Linked DNA regions of Astyanax mexicanus. The protein of the gene in region 2 interacts with the protein of the main gene of each other region in a pairwise test. Links are inferred from orthologs where the notes say so. Each region holds a gene or a part of one and is shown on either strand. Other genes may lie near its edges.

Evidence for each region.
Region 1: the proteins of sgtb (region 2) and serpine1 interact in binary tests that used the Homo sapiens proteins (3 or more experiments, as listed by UniProt). The two-hybrid records come from large-scale screens. The link is inferred for Astyanax mexicanus from reciprocal best matches to the Homo sapiens genes SGTB and SERPINE1.

What each region holds. Positions count from the first base shown.
Region 1 is NC_064415.1:25,930,202-25,937,125, reverse strand, and holds the start of serpine1 (plasminogen activator inhibitor 1), read left to right. Parts: upstream 1-3,903; 5' UTR 3,904-4,009; intron 4,010-4,975; 5' UTR 4,976-4,976; coding exon 4,977-5,217; intron 5,218-5,321; coding exon 5,322-5,546; intron 5,547-5,859; coding exon 5,860-6,054; intron 6,055-6,417; coding exon 6,418-6,616; intron 6,617-6,726; coding exon 6,727-6,827; intron 6,828-6,924. UniProt on the Homo sapiens protein: Serine protease inhibitor. Inhibits TMPRSS7. Is a primary inhibitor of tissue-type plasminogen activator (PLAT) and urokinase-type plasminogen activator (PLAU).
Region 2 is NC_064427.1:22,893,129-22,900,934, forward strand, and holds the start of sgtb (small glutamine-rich tetratricopeptide repeat-containing protein beta), read right to left. Parts: upstream 2,953-7,806; 5' UTR 2,930-2,952; intron 1,325-2,929; coding exon of another isoform or gene 1,068-1,324; intron 1-1,067. Other genes in the region: nln (neurolysin, mitochondrial), read left to right, coding at 1,068-1,324, 2,953-3,101, 5,217-5,321. UniProt on the Homo sapiens protein: Co-chaperone that binds directly to HSC70 and HSP70 and regulates their ATPase activity.

The sequences.
Region 1 (6,924 bases), on a different chromosome or scaffold from region 2:
ATAGTTATATGAAGTGGTAAAGCTGGAGACAAACAAGCAACAGAGCAGTGTTGCATAAAGGCTCTTCGCTGAACCCAAACTGCGGTTTAGTTTAATAGATTTTCCAAAGCAGCCTTGGTCGGTTGCCATGGATAAGATGAGTCCTCCTCCAGCTAAAGGGAGTTCCCATGTGCATCTGAAATGTGAATCAGGTGGGCGTACCACTGGGGTCTGAATCTGTGGTTCCATATTTTTCCATTCACTCCATATGGAATGTAGCAAACTCAGTGGAGGAGGTGGGCAGTGATGACTGCAGATGCTAAAATTAGCCTAATGGCTTCATGAATGGAGACCGAATGAGATAAACTCATATGCACATGCCTTATACATGTTGCAAATGACAAATAGACCAGAAAATAATTACTTTCTGTGACATTGTTGTGGGATTCTAGTAATATAAAAACTGAGACAAACAATTAGACGCTAATGAAACACCAACATGTAATAGACCATGACCTCATACCTTCGTAATTATATTGGCTCTGTTTTGTCACTTGAGTGTCTAGTCTCTCCTAAGTGTTCTGTCATCATGCTGGCAGACTTTTTATAAACAGAGATTCCAATAAAAGTGGGACACGTTTACTGAAGTTACTAAACCTCTTTAATCTAAGAGTAAAATTAGTGCTGTTCCAACACTACAGTGTGTCACCATGCCCTCCATACAGTACACATACAGTTTTACTCTTACAAAAAGTTTTTTAAAAAAAGAGCTCATTAAAGTAAATCTCCTGAAGATCCGTATTTGATACCCTAATAAATCTTCCAGCACGTGGTTACAATTCGATAAAAGGGAGAAGAGCTGAATAAATATATTCATAAGCTATATATAATAAAAAAAAACTACCTATATTGCTTGTGTCAGCACCCTGGTTGCTGCGTATAATATGGCAATTGGACCATATTGCTTGTGTCAACACTGTGATTGTCAATTATAATATGTTAATTGGACTGTATAGCTTGATTGCTGATTATAATACAGCAATCGGTCTGCACCACTTGTGCCAATACCCGGCTGCTGAGTATAATACAGCAATCTATCAGAGGAGCTTGTCTCAAACAACGGTTCCTGTGTATAATACAACTGTTGGCTCAAGAAGCTTGTGCCAAAACCCCGGTTGTTGTGCATAATACGATGAGTGCCTCTTTTTACAACTCGCTGGATGCTGTGTATAAACTGCAGCCCTTGACTTGACTACCTGGTTTATCTTTTGGGCAAATCTGGTACCTGATACCTGAAAGTTAGTGCTTTTACTCCTGCATGCTTGTGGTTTCAAGCGAGCTGAGTAGGGACTAAACTGTGATATATTAAAAAAATATGTGTGCTGATTTGGCCAGAGAGAACATTCACTCTAAACTGCGCAATGCAGATATCTAGCAGCACAAAATTTCCAAGCAACATTAGCAATCACATTTGTTTTTATCTGTCTCGCAATGGCAGTTTGTAAAATTATGCTGTTATCTTTAGAAAAGGATAAAAATATATATTTGGATTGGTGGCTGACATAATTATACATTGAGAGTTGCGAAAAACATTGCAGGGGGAGGTGTGTTAAAGGAAAATTAACCAGAAACCAGGTACCAAAAAGCAAAAAAGTAGATAACCACCACATGATAGTCCAGTAGATAACCACCACATGATGTAACTTCAATGTATACTGTTCTACAGTGCATAGCAAAATCTAACTAGTATATATGGCACAGGAAAAAAAAAAACATGTTGGTTTTCTAATAACTCAAAAGTGTATGAATCTTAAAAAGCTGTGTGAACATTTAAGACATTCAATTTAAGGAGATTTAAGATTTAAAGAAACCATCACATCACGTAAATGTTCTAAAATATTTTAAAGTTGATTTATAAAACTGTTAGGACTGTTAAAGGAAGCTTTTTGGTAATGTTTATGGTACAATCCTTAAAATATTGATGAAAAATCAATTCCAAATTAGTATCTTTCATTAAACAATGAAAAATAATAGCTTAAAAAGTCTTTATTTTAATGTAATGTTTCCTTTATACATTTTATCTTCTTTCTGCATCTTCAGGTACAGACATATCGAGTCATATGAGGCATGTTGATATCATCGTATCATAGCCGGCTGGTGTAAATGTGAAACACAGCCGCTCTCCCTCTTTTATATTCCTCCTTTTACTCTCGTCTCTCTGTCGCCAGACGCTCAGTCATCTGTAGAACTTGGGGCATGCAGCTCAGTCCGTGAGCATGCCCCATGGAATGCTGGATCTGTAGTTCCAAATATGGCAGTGTGATGTGTCATTTTCACCAGAGGGGCCCACTGGTGAATTTTGGCTTTGACTGATGTTCTTGATTAGGCCACATAAGAAGAAAGGATTTTGGTTGTGTTTCCTTTCAGGTCCTCTTCTCATTAGGGGTTCCGGGTTCATGCCTCTAATGAGCAAGCCAAGGATGAGACATTGGAAAACTCAACCAGAGCCAAAAAAAGAAGAGTCAAAGGGAGAAGCCATCCTCCTATTGTCAGAAACAGATAACACAAGAGGAGCAGGTGGAGTTAAGATAAGTATTATTCTATAAATGTCACAGACAGATTAATATGGAAATAACCAGTTGGTCAATTGCTAATTTTAGAAGCATATTAGAGGTTATTTAAAAAAATAGAGTTTAAATGAATGATATTTGTAAGATCTGTGCCCTCTTTAATGTGTTTAAGAGCATCAGTTGTAAAGTTGTGAAGAGGCAAACAGTTGGTATACAGTGAATGATGCTATTTAAGTAATGTTCCAATCCATATTATGGCAGGAACTACTCAACTAAGAAAACAAAAAATCCTTTAAAAAATATTCCAAGAACTCCAAAAGTACCCTCAAGTGCAGTCGCAAAGACTATCAAAAACATTATGATGAAACTGGCCCTCATCAGGACAGCCCCAGGAAGGTAAGACCAAGAGTTACCTCTGTTTTACAGGATAAGTTAACATCATGCCAGAAAAGAGCACCTAAATGGTTCACAGAGTATTTTGGTTCGTTTAACACTTTTAAGTTACTAAATGATTCCTCATGTGTTCCTTCATAGTCTGAATGACTTCAGTATTCATTTACAATGTTGGAAAAAGAAGGTGTGTCCAAACCTTTAACTGGTACTGTATAAACAAATGTAAAGTGTAATAAAAAATAAAATAATAAAAATATATTAGTAGTAATAAAAAATAAAAATTAAAGAATGTGTAAAAATAAACATATTTAAAATAATTGTACAATTTCTATATGAATTTGGCAATGGTCAGTGCCTTTTTAAACAAGTTATGTATGATATAGTTTGATGTGGTTTAAGTAGTCAACTCAGAAAGTATGAGTGGTGTATGCATCACTACATAAACAAAAAATATCCAAACCAACAGCACCCTATGGACAGAGTAGACCTAGATCATTAATATCCCCCACTTTGTTTAGACAGAGCATTTCATTGTTATTATAAAACTCTGCATTTTTATTAAAACCAGACCCATCTATTTTCACTAGTCTCGCACTGGGGCACTGAGGCTATATTAGTGTGTAGTGTAACACAGTGCGTGGGTGAGTGAGTGGGTTTGTAATTTAATTAGCAAACACTCTCAGAGCGTTCACTGAGTCTAAACTGCTGCCAAATCCTGTCAAAGTCAGCAGCGGAGCTCCCTGGGGGGAACAGCATGACTCGGTTTAGTTGAGTCTGTTGAAGAAGAGAGAAAATCGTGTTTGAGTGTGAGTGTGTGTGTGTGTGTGTGTGTGTGTGTGTGTGTCTGTGTGAAACAGAGCGCAGGAGTAGGGGTGGCTCAGGCTGGAAAAGCAGACAGAGATGACTTCATAACTTCCGTTCCGCATTTAGGGGGAGGGGTTCTGGGTCCTGAGTTCTTTAAAAAGAGAAGAGAGGCAATTGCTCGTTCAGTCCATGCTGGATAGGCACAAGGAGAAGGCACATCTACAAGCTTAGATCCACTGAGACTACTACTTCCAGACTTTCAGGTATGGGTTATGGTTTGCTTGCACTTTTTGGACAAAAGTTGTTTTTTTTAGGCTTGATTTTCATTGTGTAGAAAATGTTATATGGGGATAATTGTGTTGTCAAACTTGTAGAGTAAAATCTTTTCTTGTATTTTTTATTTTTGAACTTTGTCTTGTAGTTTTATATTCAAGTCACCTTAAAATTAAAAATCCAAATTTAGGCTACAGATCAAGGACTTATGTTTTAGAGCTAGGGGTACTGTATTGGCTTTGTCAAGAGATTACCTCCACTAAAATTTCTTCAAAAAGTATTGTGACAATAGTTGACGCAGTTGTTGTTGACTCCATGTAGACTTTCCATATAAAAAGCCACTTGAGTTTAAGGCTATTTAACTTGCCATGTTAAAATATGCCAGTGTATTGCAACTGATTTTATAATATAGATATATAATAATGTACAAAATCTTGGTTTTACAAAGCTTGGTAATTGTCGGAATAGGTCACGTAGCTAGGTGTGTTCATTTTAGCGGATTCGTGAATAGACCTGCAGAGAGATGGAAAGGTGACTCAAGGTAAGCATTTAGGAACAGCAGCACTGAATTTACATTGTGGGTGTTTAAGTACATAGAGAAGAATACGTGCCTTTCAGACACACTTATGAGCTCCTTCAGGTCTGTCTGAGTGTGATGGCTACTGGCGTCAACCACTTTTGGTTGTGAGGGAGTTTAATAGCTTAAAACGGTGATTGTAGCAGATGCCAAGGACAGGATTAAAGGACAGGAAGCGCCACATTAGATATGGGTGAATTATGCTGTTGATTCCAGTACAGCTTAAGGCACTAAATATAGTGTAGTAGTACCACATGTTCATTCATTCATTCATTTACTCATTGTGGTTCATTTATTCATGAATTAACTGATTAATTCAGCATGTTACTCAAACAGTATGTCTAGATTTCATATTCTTATCCATTCTCTCCTTATGCAGAATGCAGACACTCTGTGTACTGATGACCCTTGCCTTTTATGGGTCAGCGATGGGCACCTTCCTGCAGAAGCAGCAGACGGATTTTGGACTGCGGCTGTTCTCAGAAGCTGCTCACTCCCATCAAGATGAAAACTTTGCCATGTCACCCTACGGCATCTCCTCCGTGATGGGAATGGTCCAGCTGGGAGCTTATGGCAGCACTCTAAAGACACTCAAAGAGCACATGGGCTATTCTCTGCAAGGTAAGAATGGAGGGAAAATTGTTTTTATGCACCAAATAAATGGATTTTCCCTGATTCCAATCCAAGAATTATATAGAAACCTATAATTTCTGTACTTTCTCCAGATCGTGGAATGCCACGACAACAGAGGCTTCTTCACAGAGACCTGTCCAGTGAACACGGAGTGGAGGTGGCTAGTGGCGTCATGGTGGACAGAAAGCTGATGTTGGAGAAGCCCTTCCGACGCAGCCTTACAAAAGCATTTCAGAGTGTCCCTCACCAGGTGGACTTTAGCAAGCCAAAGACTGCCCAGCAGGTCATCAACGCCTGGACGTCAGACAGAACCGGAGGTGTGTGTGTGCTTTTTTTTTCCTTTTGTGTGAGACTGTGTATGTGTTTGTGCAATTATAAATGATAATGAATTTAGATAATTTTTTTATAATGTGTTTTTTGATGTTATTTGTCAATTGTAATTAAATTGAAACCAGCCTTTCATTTTTCAGAGTGTGATGATTAACTCTACCTTATTAGAATCTTTTGTTTGTCTTGTTTTTATGATTAAATGGTTCCGTTTGAAAGATTATGTCAGAGTACACTGTGTACATGTGGAGATCTCACGTGCTACTGAACAAGTCCTGAACTCTGCCCTCTCTCTTCTCTCAGGCATGATTCCAAACTTCCTGCCGTCCGGACTTCTGAGTCAGCAGACTCGCTTGGTGCTGTTAAACGCGCTTCACTTTCACGGCCTCTGGATGACACCCTTCGACCCCAGCCTGACCATGGAGATGATGTTCCATGGTCCTAATGGTAGCACACTGCCAGTGCCAATGATGAGAACCACCAATAAATTTAACTACGGTGAGAATGTAATGGAATTAGTGTAATGTAATGTTTTGGGTGTGACCAATTAAATTGGCTTATTTTAAGGTTTCATGAATTTACTTGCAGAATTCCTGTTGATCCTTATAATGCTGTTTATTTTTTTTCATAATGAAACTTAAATTCTAATTTAGTCAGAAAATCTTTGTTTATCAAAACAATTGCAGTGTAATTTTTTTGGCCAAAAACATTATTTAAGCTAATATTTTATATCAGTCCAGCCTTAGTAATGATTATTGGATGAATGAATGAATGAATGATTAAGAAATACATTGATATATAAGCTCTAATATTTATACAGCTATTGCCATTGTTTTAAATATTGCCTGTCTCATCCTCCAGGTGAGTTTGTGACGAAGGAAGGTGTTGATTACGATGTTATTGAGGTACCCTATGAAGGAGACTCAATGAGCATGCTCCTGGTGTCTTCATTCGAAAAGGACATGCCGCTGTCTGCCCTCATCAAAGAGCTGAGTGGCAGCAAGGTCCAGGAGTGGAGAAAGAACATAAAGAAGGTCAACCGCCAGCTGGTGCTGCCCAGGTAAAGAGAATAAAACCTTTATTTTACTGACATTTACTATTTTTTGGATTCTGATTGTTAATTCTGATTATTTAGAGTCTAATACAAGTTTGCGTCAATGTTATGTCCAGGTTTTCCATTGACACAGAAGTCGATTTGAAGTCAACACTGAGCAAACTGGGGCTTGGAGACATCTTCAGCCAGTCCAAGGCAGATTTCTCACGCATTACTAGTAAGTATATGCAAGTACACATATTTTATGTCTATAAAGACCTCTGGAGTTGTTGAGAGTGAATGGAATAAAGTATTGTTTTAAAGTAATGTAAGTT
Region 2 (7,806 bases):
TGAATTTTTTTTTTTGTAAGTTTTGCTAAAATGAAAAAACACCAGAGATCTTTTGTTTTAGCTTCCTATAGAACACTGCACTGACCTGGACAATAAGACACTAATTCTTTGTATTGCGATAAATTTGTTATTACAATATATGGTGTGAGTATATTGTTGTATATTTCATCAATGTCTAAAATTCACACTGATCATGCTGTATTCACACGCTGCTCTTTTTTTTACAGAGAGGATATTTAGTTAAGTTTAATTGTATAAAGCGCAGCACATGTTGAATAAAAATAATTCCTGTATTTAAATGATGTTTAAGAATCTGCTGCTACTAATGCAATTTATCCATTATTATATGATAAAAAAATAAGATGAAGTATTGCTCAGCCCTGCCTCTAAAGTCACAGACTTGCTTATTTATTTATTTATACACCAGAGAACAACTTAAAGCACTCAATAAATGCCTTCTTTGGCACCTTTAAGAGTGATTGGCATTTTATGGGCATGCCCTCAGGTCAGCTCTGGTGTCTGGTGTGAATCAGAAGCTGTGAATGAGAGGCCAGACGGATCGGAAGCTGTGAATACAAAGCCGAACTCAGCCCTCTGAAATGAACTCTCGATAATCTAACAGCCATGTGTGGGTCGTTGTAGGTTTCGGAAGGAGGGATCAGGTTCCCCTCGCCATGCTTTCAGGGTAAAGGAGAAGGTGAGCAGGCTTCGTACGTGTGCAGCTGCGAGGAGCTCGGCTTTCTGCCCTCAGGAGTTTACAATCTGTTTGTCTAAGGGTTAAAAATATCTGAAGACGTCTCTTCTGTCGTCTCACGGCTGGATTCGGCAGGTTTGCTTCAGGTCTACTTAGAGCCAGGGCTGTTTAGGGGGCTGCGCTCAGTGGAGTTGAAATCAGTTTGAGTGTAATTGGGTTGAATAAGTCCAGACAGACTCAGGGTCAAGGTGGACCTGGATTGTTAAAATTAGATACTCAGATGTCTGTGATTTTTTTTATGGCATTAATATAATAAGCAGGACATTTTATCATTACTTGCACTTGTTCCTATTTCTTTTCTCCTCCTCCAAAGAGTTTTCCGCTGCAGCTCCAGAGTCAGGATGACCCTTCTGAACGAATTGGAAGTTTCATCCAGGAACTGTTCAAACTCTGCTGACAACAGGAACGATCTGAGATGGGATCTGAGCCCAGAGCAGATCAAACACAGGACGGAGAGGCTGATCCAGCGGATAAAGCAAGCCTACGACTCGGTTGGTTCGGTGGAGATTGGTAAAGTGTGTGCTGACAACACTCTGCAAATCCTGGCAGATGCTAAACTGGATTACGCTGGTGAGTCGATACAGATTAAAATCACTATTTGGTCGAGCTGTACAGTATACAATATACAAATATCTTTCGCGCTATAAGGCACACTTAAATTTGGGCTCTCCTAATGGAAGAGGCCAAATTTAGCCTGGTCACAAGCTGACCCTACATAGTGCATGTTGAGGTCAGTTTGAAAGACTGATGGTGGCCCTTGATGGACCTTCAAATGTCCCAGATAGGTATCTGGGGAGCTGGAGCTGCTTCAGCTAATCCAGGTGTGTAAAATTCTAAACCTCTCAAAAAGGTTAAGAAGAAATTATTCCAAAATTTCCCCTCTGGGATCAATAAAGTATCTATCTATCTAAAATAATTTAATTTCCCCCAAAATTGACAATGCGCCATATAATCCGGTGCACTTTATGTATAAATTCTACCAGTAAGGTTGTAAGCAGCAGTAAAGCCACTCTGCTGAAGTACAGTGTTATTAAAGACAAAAGAGCTTCATTGAAGTTTCTCCAGCACCAAGGCTGGAGCAGTATAAGCGCAGCGCTGGCTCTTTAACCGTTCAGAGGTGAGTACATCAGACTGTAGTCGGCGTGTTTAACATGTTAAAAACAAACTGTGTCGCACAAATCGCTAGCTGATAGAGCCCTGGCCAAATCCACCCGAGATCCTATGTAAACCTAGTTCTTTACACTGAGGTGGGTACTCAAGGTCCAGAAAGTAAAAATCCACCCCGGGGTTTTGTTGGCTGAGTCGCAGCAGAGCTGTCCAGGCAGTTGGATTTTTACTTTTAACTAGTGTAAACAGAACTGTTCTTAAAATACATGGCTTACCAGGACAATCAGGGTTCCTCAGTGTAGCGCTGACGAGCGGCATTAGCCATTAGCCATAGCTAGCGCTAGCCGTTAGCTGCCAATTATCCATTAATGAACTTAAGTTCTTTACTCACCCAAAAAGAGTTTTTTTAGGAGTGAAATCTGTGTAGATTAACATCCAGCGCTCGTCTGACTTTAAAAAGATTTTTTTTTTTTTAAGAATTAGTTACAGTTCAGCTTGCCCATTAGAAGTGAAACATGGCGACACCCCTGTTCCTTACTAGTGTGGAAAATGGTGCACCTTATAGTGCGTAAAATACAGTATATTTCTCCATACTGATAAACATAGTTCCCTAATGGTGGAACAGACTACCTTCTACCCTTCTACTACCAGAGCAGGGGCATTTTTCGCTATCTTTAAGAAACTCCTAAAGACAGAGCTCTTCAAAGAGCACCTACTCTCCTAACACCTCTAACAAACTAACTACTTCTAATCTCAAAAATGTACATCAATATTTGCAAGTCGCTTCGGACAAAAGCGTCCGCGAATTATAATATAATGTAATGTAAACCAATCAAGGCATTTATAACAGCAGATTGAATCCCAGCTTCAGCAACCTACGAGATTGCCGAGCAGGATCTACAGGCCCAGCTGCAACATCTGTTGGGAAATCTCTATACCTCTAAACCCCTATATCCAACCGTATCTCATCTTGTGTCCAGGCTAGAAGCTCCCAACAGTGTGCTATTTATATTATTTATTATTTAGTATTTATATTATGGTGGAATTGTAGTATATTATAGTTCTAACCTTCTTCAGTGATGCGTCTGCAGCTTCCCGCCATGTGCTGGACTTCCCGCAGTACGTGTCCCCGTGCAAAGAGGTGCGATCTGCAAGCACTGAGGCTGACAAGCGCCTGTCGGAGTTTGATGTGGAGATGAGCATGAGAGCAGACGTGTTCCAGAGGCTTGTAGCCCTGCAGGTAAGAGCAGACACGCTGAAGTGAGTCTCCAGGGAATTTACTGCCCTTTTAATTACCTTGTTATGAACAATCCAACTGTGTCTCTGGGGTTCACTTGGGTTCAACATGGGGATGAGCATGAGGGCAGATGTGTTCCAGAGGTTCATCATAAACCTTCAGGTGAATCCAGAGAGTTTAACATGCAGTATAAAGATCTGTTATGTTCCATACAGCCCTTATGAGAGTTTTTAAACATTCAATAGGAAAGCAGATAAGCATGGTATTTAGATAGATAACCAAGCATTTATTGGACCACCTGGGATGCCAGCTTCTGCAGCCTACTACTGTTCAGGATCTAAAGATTTATTTCGGATGCCCAACAGGGTACTATAGTGTCATTTCAGTTCACATTGTATTGTTTTCCCCAATAAACATACCGTTTTTTTCGCACTATAAGGTGCACCGGATTATAAGGTGCATTATGTGACACTAGTAAGGAACAAAGGTGTCGCCATGTTTTTCTTCTAATTCAGCAGGTCTCGCCACCCAGCAAAAGCTTAGCTTAGTTAAAGCAGCACTAGGTAGGATTTCCTTGATTTTTTTATATTTTTAAAGAAGTAAAATTACAGCTTGAAACTCACTGCAGCGCTGCATTGAGGTGTAATAGGAGGAATAGCGGTGCTCTTGTGTCTGTGCCGGAGCTTCTCTGAGCTCAAACCAGACTCTGTAAGTTTTCTGAGGCGGCCGCGACCAACGCTCGCGAGAACTGCAACCTGCTTTCAGACCTTTAGTTCTAACAGTTCTACAAGGACTACTGGTTCATTCTTTACAAACTAACATACAAACACTCTGACAGAACCTGGAAAGAGACCGAATATGTCTGTGAAAGCCAGTAAAACTAAGCCGACTGATACATTTATTACACTCTACAACTGTAGGGGGAGCCCACGAGCACAAAATCTCAATCCTACCTAGTGGAGCTTTAGGTAAACAAAACTGTAATTCTTTAAAAATATATATTTTAAGGTCAAACATGCACTGTGTTTCTTTTCTGAAAACGGTTTATTTGGGTGAGTAAAGCACTTTCATTTATTTACAGTACGCTTAGATTTCCAGATTTCCTCTTAAGGCTGTGTGCAGCAGCATTAGCATTAGCAGCTAACCACTAGCGCTAGCCACTGAGGAAACCTGTTTTCCGGTAAGCCAGGGCGATATTAGCTAGCGGTTCGTCCCACGTAGCTTGTTTTAACACGGTAAACGCGCAGACTACAGAACGATGATACTCACCTCTGAACGATGAAAGAGCTAGCATTTAGCATGGTTAGCTGCTAATGCTAATACTTCTTTAGCCTCAGTGCTGGAGGAATAAACTGAAACTCCTGTATAATGCTGCACTTCAGTAGAGTGGCTTTACTGCTGCTTAATACCTGACTGGTAAAATTCATACATAATGCATACTGTCAGTTTTTTTTCTAAATTAAAGGATTTTAAGTGCGCATTATAGTGTGAAAAATACGTTATCCTTTCACTCTTCTATTGTTTTCACTTACATACACATAATTATTATATTTGCACATATAAAGTTATATTTAATTCCAACAACTCTTTCTTCTTCTCTCACTTCTTTCTGTACATTTCATGCATTGGTGTATTTAGGCAGTTTATAGTTTGTTGCTGTTTTATAACGCATAAAATCTAACAGCTCTCTATAACCTTGGCAGAGCTACAGCTAAACACACATACTGTGTGTCTCATGCTCTGTTAGCTCTGCTGCTATAAGAACAGAAGCGTTTTGTGTGTGTGTGTGGTTTATGTTATGAGATGCCCTCTGCTTCCCTGTGCTTTGATATGAGATCGCATTCTCTCTCCTGGGTATTTACTGCCCTTTTAATTGAGTTCTCATGAACAGCCCAACAAATGTCACTGGGGTTTGTAAGGGCTGGAAATGTTTCCACTCTCAGAGAAATATCTGACCTCAGTAACTCCAGCGAGAGGAGCATGGTTGGCTTCCTGACAAAAGCTCAGCTCTATTCTCTGAGGAGGGCAGGGTGTACAGTGATAGCACAGCAGTTTGTATGAAGAGTTAATATAATGACTAAAACAGTCTGTGTGTGTATTTATTTCCTTTATTTATAGGAAAGACAACCCAACAGTTTATCTCCAGAGTCTAAAAGATTAATGGAGAGATGGATCAAACTCGGGAGACGGAATGGGCTGCACCTGTCTGCACAAGTACAAGAAGTGAGTATATAATAGTAAAATAGATCCGTTTCTTGCTGTAGATGAACACTAAATGAATTTACACTTTTGCAGTGGGTTACATTTAGTTGCAGTGGGTTGCATCTTTCTGCACTACAGCAGAATCTAACAACCACAGAGCTCAAACCATCTAATTGCAAAATTGAAACAAAAACGTGAAATTTGACTGAATTTTAACTGCCTGTTCTGTGATTTGAGATGGCATTAAATAGATACTACACATTTTTAAAAGCATACAGTATCACTCAAAGGTTTGGACACAACTTCTCAATCAATTTTTCAATTTTATTTTTTTTCTACATTAAAACAAATAATTAATTCATCCAGGCTATGAAGGAACACATTAAAAGTATCTTAAAAGTGTTAAACAAACCAAAATAATCTTTAAAGCATTGAGGTGGTTGGTAACTTGTGGTTTCTGAGGCTGGTAACTCTGATTAAACTAATCCTGTACAACAGAGGAAACTCTGATCTTCCTTTCCTTCACTGGCCAGTTTTATCTGAACATTTAAGACGATCTTTTTAACTGCACTTGAAGTTCCTTTAAAGTTCTGGATTTTTGCTGGATTGACTGACCTTGTCTTAAAGTATTTTTTCTTTACTTAGTTAAGAAGTTTTTGCCATAATTTGGATTAGAATATTACTCTAATAGAGCTATTCACTGTACACCAACTCTACCTCTTCGCAACTTCACAACTGATGCTCTCAAACACATTACTAAGAGACAAGAAATTCAAGTAATTAACTCTTTACGAGTTCAGCACAGCTGTTAACTGAAAGCCTGAATTCCAGGTGAGAAAATACTAAGATTTGCAAAGCTGTGAAACAATCTAAAATATAAAACAAAATCTGGGATTCTGCTCATTTGGATGACTTTAGTTTTAATCAACAATGCATAACATTTTAAAATAATGAAAAAACACTGAATTTAAGGTTTGTCCAAACTTTTGACTGGTACTGCATATGTCCAGTAGGTTCATTGACACCTTTTCTAATGTACATTGTACATTGTTGGACAATGAAACTGAAACACCTGGTTTTAGAGCACAATAATTTATTGTGGCGACGGACAGTTCTGGTGGAAACAGGAGTTGAGGTGCACATTGAATTCTGCCGTGAATTGAGCAGCCGTGGTTTTATGTTTTTTGGAACAATCCTGGTTAACACCCGAACATCCCTTTCAGACAGCTTCCTCTTACAGCATCCACAGTTAATCCTGTTGGATGTGGTTGGTCCTTCTTGGTGGTATGCTGACATTACCCTGGATACCGTGGCTCATGATACATCACAAAGACTTGCTGTCTTGGCCACAGATACGCCAGCAAGACGTGCACCAACAATTTGTCCTCTTTTGAACTCTGGTATATCACCCATAATGAGCAAAACTGTGCTCTTACCCTGCTAATTGAACCTTTACACTCTGCTCTTACTGCTACAATGTGCAAAGTATAGATTGGCCACCAGGCTGCTCCAGTTTAGCCATGAAACCACCCTCACTAAAGTGACAGGTGTTTCAGTTTCATTGTCCAACCCCTGTCATTTAAGTTGCACCAATTGCTAAAACAGTCCCTGTAGAGAAGTACTGCCAATACATAAGGACGAAGATAAACATGATCCTGTTGGCACCGTGTCTAATGCCAAGTGCGGGCTAGAGAGACATATCTGAACCCCAGCATTGAGCTGTGGAGCAGTGGATCTGTTGTGTGGTATTTTTGGGATGAGTTTTGGAGTTGACGATGAGGTGGAGCAGGTGGTGATCATCCAACATCCTGTCCTCACTAATATTCTTGTCGCTGAATGCATTCAACCCCCCCTTGCACCTTTTAATACACTCTATAGATGGACAAAAGTACTGGGACACTCTCATTCTCTCTTTCTTCCATGTCATGAGCATCAGTTTGGCCAGGCTTCACAGCTTAATGGTGGTAGGCGTGTCCTATTCTTTTGACAAGGCATGTCAAGCTGTGTTAGCAATGGGTGCAACATAAAATATTTTTCGCACTATAAGGTGCTAAGTGCTATCTCTTTCGCCGTTCAGAGGTGAGTATTATCAGCATGTAGCCTGTTGCAAACCCCGACTAGCACTGCTGGAGCAGAATTAGCATTAGCCACTAACCTAAGCGCTAAGAGTTAGCCCTTTCACCGTTCAAAGGTGAGTATATCAAACTGTAGCCTGCATGTTTACTGTGTTAATACAAACTACATGGGACAAACCGATAGCTAATATCATCTTACCAGAACAATCAGGGTTCCTCAGTGTACCGCTGTCAGGAGGCATTTACAAGCGCTAACCATGGCTAACGCTAAAGCTGCTGCACCCAGCCTTAGTGGAAATCTGGAAATCTTAGATCTTTACTCATCCAAATAAACAGTTTTCAGGAGAGAAATCTGTGCAGATTAACAACCAGCGCTTGTTTGACTTGAATTTATTATTATTTTTTTTTAAGAATTACAGTTTTGTTTACTT